Linked DNA regions of Kluyveromyces lactis. Each later gene encodes a partner of the first gene's protein in a complex. Links are inferred from orthologs where the notes say so. Each region holds a gene or a part of one and is shown in the gene's direction. Other genes may lie near its edges. The genes, in order: MUD1 and RDS3.

The links.
Region 2: MUD1 (region 1) and RDS3 share a complex: the UniProt entries of both Saccharomyces cerevisiae proteins name them as parts of the spliceosome. The link is inferred for Kluyveromyces lactis from reciprocal best matches to the Saccharomyces cerevisiae genes MUD1 and RDS3.

Annotation. Positions count from the first base shown.
Region 1 is NC_006038.1:785,318-788,198, reverse strand, and holds MUD1 (Mud1p), read left to right. Parts: upstream 1-1,159; coding exon 1,160-2,077; downstream 2,078-2,881. Other genes in the region: TEF2 (translation elongation factor EF-1 alpha), read left to right, coding at 1-702; CBP6 (Cbp6p), read right to left, coding at 2,321-2,791. UniProt on the Saccharomyces cerevisiae protein: Involved in nuclear mRNA splicing. The principal role of the U1A is to help fold or maintain U1 RNA in an active configuration. It is the first snRNP to interact with pre-mRNA.
Region 2 is NC_006039.1:1,359,157-1,361,212, reverse strand, and holds RDS3 (U2 snRNP complex subunit RDS3), read left to right. Parts: upstream 1-1,197; coding exon 1,198-1,533; downstream 1,534-2,056. Other genes in the region: ubiquitin-protein ligase ASR1, read right to left, coding at 10-924; Arf family guanine nucleotide exchange factor SYT1, read right to left, coding at 1,746-2,056. UniProt on the Saccharomyces cerevisiae protein: Required for pre-mRNA splicing. Involved in regulation of drug sensitivity and may play a role in multidrug resistance.

The DNA of each region.
Region 1 (2,881 bases):
TTGTTGGAAGCTATTGACGCTATCGAACCACCATCCAGACCAACTGACAAGCCATTGAGATTGCCATTGCAAGATGTCTACAAGATTGGTGGTATCGGAACTGTGCCAGTCGGTAGAGTCGAAACCGGTGTTATCAAGCCAGGTATGATTGTTACCTTCGCCCCAGCCGGTGTTACTACTGAAGTTAAGTCCGTCGAAATGCACCACGAACAATTGGAAGAAGGTCTACCAGGTGACAACGTCGGTTTCAACGTCAAGAACGTTTCCGTTAAGGAAATCAGAAGAGGTAACGTCTGTGGTGACTCCAAGAACGATCCACCAAAGGCTGCTGCTTCTTTCAACGCCACTGTTATCGTCTTGAACCATCCAGGTCAAATCTCTGCTGGTTACTCTCCAGTTTTGGATTGTCACACTGCTCACATTGCTTGTAAGTTCGACGAATTGTTGGAAAAGAACGACAGAAGATCCGGTAAGAAGTTGGAAGACTCTCCAAAGTTCTTGAAGTCCGGTGATGCTGCTTTGGTTAAGTTCGTTCCATCTAAGCCAATGTGTGTTGAAGCCTTCTCTGACTACCCACCTCTAGGTAGATTCGCTGTCAGAGACATGAGACAAACCGTCGCTGTCGGTGTTATCAAGTCCGTTGACAAGACTGACAAGGCCGGTAAGGTCACCAAGGCCGCTGTCAAGGCTGGTAAGAAATAAGTTTAACTTGATACTACTAGATTTTTTCTCTTCATTTATAAAATTTTTGGTTATAATTGAAGCTTTAGAAGTATGAAAAAATCCTTTTTTTTCATTCTTTGCAACCAAAATAAGAAGCTTCTTTTATTCATTGAAATGATGAATATAAACCTAACAAAAGAAAAAGACTCGAATATCAAACATTAAAAAAAAATAAAAGAGGTTATCTGTTTTCCCATTTAGTTGGAGTTTGCATTTTCTAATAGATAGAACTCTCAATTAATGTGGATTTAGTTTCTCTGTTCGTTTTTTTTTGTTTTGTTCTCACTGTATTTACATTTCTATTTAGTATTTAGTTATTCATATAATCTTAACTTAACGTAACAACAACTTTCATTGTCAACAAATTTACTAATACTAATACGTATGGACTATTTGTTAATAGGTTGTGATATCCTTCTCTATTAGGTTATTACACATGCCATACAAAGCTAGTATCTATCGGCAAGCAATGGTCAGTACCTTATATCTGTCGAATCTACCGTCGAGGCCCGACTCATTGTCCAAATTCAGAGCCTTACTACTATCAAGTGTTAATTCAGATCATCGTTCTATTTCAAATGATGTTAGTACAAGATTCGATCTGAACTCGAAGAAAGAAACTAGTGAGGCTGATGCGGTTACACCAGTACTCGATGAAAAGTATCAGATCATAGAGGTATCAAGGTATGGCTCAAGACCCTTGAGGAGGTCTTGTTTCGTCACTTTTAAGGACTCAGACAGTTGTAATACGTTCCTTATAGAATTTCAAGGCAAGCTCAAGATTAATGGGAGAAAGATAAATATAAAGCTGGCGAATACGGATTCTTTCGCAGCTTTGTACTACCAGGGACAACAGAAACAGCTACAGGATGAACTTCGGTTACGTACACGTAAAGCTGTGGATAATTCACAGCCCAAGACCAAGACAAAAAACGAAGTGTTGAAAAGAAGGTTAAGAAGAGCTAGAAGTAAGCTTAGAAAGAAGGATTTGGACGAAGAAACCATACAGAAGCTTCTTTCAAAGCCCAGAAAAACAAATCCTGAAGGTACCAACAAGACTGCTATGTCACAGCAGTCGGAGAAAGTTTCCTCCACTAAAAAAGTCTTTGACATTGTCGGAAATCCCCCTCACCATGTCCTATTGGTTCAAAATCTTCCAAAAGATGTTACTCAGCAAGAATTGGAAAAGTTATTTGTCTCAGATGGATTTAAAGAGGTTAGATTGGTCAGTGTCAGAAATCTTTGCTTTGTTGAATATGATTCTACAGCAAATGCCACTAAAGTTGTTGAAACCTTAGGTCATGATCATCCATTCAAGAATGTAACGATAAAGATTGGATACGCCAAGAAATGATTCTACATTTCAATGCGAATCAATAAATTCAAAGCGTTCACAGGTCGGAACTGGAACCAACAATCTACGCTTTAATAGTACATTTATCAGCAACAGATAAACAGAATAAATAGAATAGATTGAATATAAATTATTTACAGTCAGTGTATGGAGGCCTGTACAGTACAGATACACTAGAAACGAAAAAGACAGAAATGATATATACATATATGCATACGAAGCTCTAAAACCCTGAAACCGAAATTACTTACCAAATACGACAGTTCTCATAGCTGTAAAGAAAGTTTCCTTACCCTTACCTTCGATTTCGTCATGCAATCTTTTGTAATAAATTGGGTTACCTGCTGGCTTGTATAATTTGTCCCCTACAGCATAATAATTCTTATATTTATCGCTCATTATAGCATTCAACGATCTTATCTGTTCTTGGATTTGAGTATCGTTGAAATGTTCTTCTGGTAAAGCCTCTTGAACTTTCTTTAATAGATCTTTCTTCAAACCTAATGGGCCAGAAGTTCTGTTGATAATATCCTTAATCTCTGCAAGAGAAGGCTTACTTTGCTCAGAGGCACTACCGGTTTCTATTCCGGCAACTGGACGGAACCTATCTAGTTGTGACTCTTTGAATGAAATGAGATGCTTAACACGCTCCTTAGGGAACTTCTCTAACAGCTTCACTAATTGCTTAGCACTTTCTTTTGTTGCTTGCGACATCTTTGTTTTGTATCTGTGCTAATATGGATTGTAACTCGCTAGTTTAGATAGAGTCTTTGCTGGCATGACACAACCGTATCTACCGTCAGA
Region 2 (2,056 bases), on another chromosome or scaffold:
TATTAACAATTACATAACTTCCCTGATGGAGAGCCTAGCCTGCTCCTCGTAATTTATCCTGCTGGGATCGAACCCAGTTGAAGATAACCCATATAACTTCCGTGACACCATTTTGTTTATGGCGATGTATCGATCCTTCGATAAAGATCCGCGGTGGTAGAATTTATCCAACTCTGTTCGTACGTATCCTTGTATCCTGCATTTGTCCTCGTAACTGATGGTGTAAGGTTGTGCGAATCTATTGTAAATGCATTCAGTAAGAATACTTCGCTTATCTCTCATCCTTCCATCGTAAATTCTCACGTTCGAATCTCGTATTACCATTGAAGATACTTTGTTCCCACGTAGTCTACAAAGAGTACCATCACACTCTATGCAACACCATTCTTTCTCACCGACTTCGCACAATAACTCATTCAGGCATGAAGAGTGGAATAACGTCTCACATGATTCACAGTATAACGTTATGTCATCATCAATTTCACCGCATAAGGCACATTGCAAGAGCTCTACTCCCTGCATGCCATTATTATTCTGTGGCTGATGTCCGATCTCTTCCGATTGTAGTGTATCCTGGTCACCATTGCCATTAGGATCTTCTTCCTCTTCCTCTTCTTCTTCTTCTTCTTCCTCTTCCTCTTCTATCGCTGCTACTGCTTCTTGCTCATCATCATTCAGTAATCGAAGCTTGGCAAACTGCTCGATCAACGACACATTACACCAGTACTTCAAATCAATCTCGATATCATCATGTTTACGGCGAAGGCTTTTGGACTCTTTTCTGCATGTAGGACACTTAAAATCGTTCGAATATAAGTGCCACTTCCTAATACAAGAAACATGATATCTATGCTCACAGGGTAAAAGCTCCCCTTGATCAGTTTCATTCATAGATTCCAAACAAATACCACATATTTCAATCATCTTGTGATATATAATGTAGTTGCTCGGAGGGTCATATAATATGAACGGTTTCCAAACCTACTTTTCTTCGTTTTTTTGGCCTATCCTGTAGATCAGTTCCTGTTTAAATCAACGGCTGCCACTTAAGCCCATCTTCTATAAAATTGTACCTTAGATATCAAAACTAAAAGAACCCACATATTAAAACAAAGAACAGAAAACTAAGTGTTTTTCCCCATACACCGTCAGGTCTTATTAATCTATTTATATTACTATTATTATCACTGGATTAAGATGTCTCGCCATCAGTACGACTTGGTTATGTGCATGAAACTTCCTGGAACCTCTGTAGGGAAGGTTTGTGATAGATGTGATGGAAGATGTCCCTTATGTGATTCAGATGTAAGGCTAATTTCTAAGGTACGGATATGCGACTCTTGCTCCTCTGGAAGTAGTGGAAGCAGGTGTATAATTTGCGGAAGTCCTGGAACGCATGAAGCGTTATATTGTTGGGACTGCCACAGATCTGAACGAAGCCGAGATGGCTGTCCCAGAATTTTGAATGTGGGTAGCAATAAGACGGACAGGTTATATAACAAAAAGACGGCGGATACCGGCAAAGGAGTATAGGATATCGATTTCTATCTTAAGGAACTATAATTTGTTATTTTACTGTTCATACGCTGATACAGTGTTGTATATTTACATGCATGAATTCTTAATTTCCATCGTTTCCAATTTATGGCATTCTGAGAATGATACTTTTAAAGTTTTAGTCGGTAAAAACATTGAACCATCGCTCAATCTATTTCCGAGATCGAAGCTTGGCCAAAACTTTTTGATTATTGGTTAAATAAGAAACTCTCTTCGATGGAATTGGCTTCGTATCGATTATATTCACTTGGATTTGGTTCCAGACCAAATACAAGCTTCAAGAGTTTAACGTATATATCAAGTCTTTCGTTTTGATATGAGACCATTTCTATTCTTTTTATTATACCATTGACATGATCGATTAAGTTTGATCTAGTCTTTGTTGATAAGGGTACCGTGTCAAGGTATATGTTAAGCTGTGAGTGTAGCGAATACCATTTCGACATATTCTGTTCATGGTTACTTTTCAGCTTTAGTATTTTATCTTCTACTGATGTCC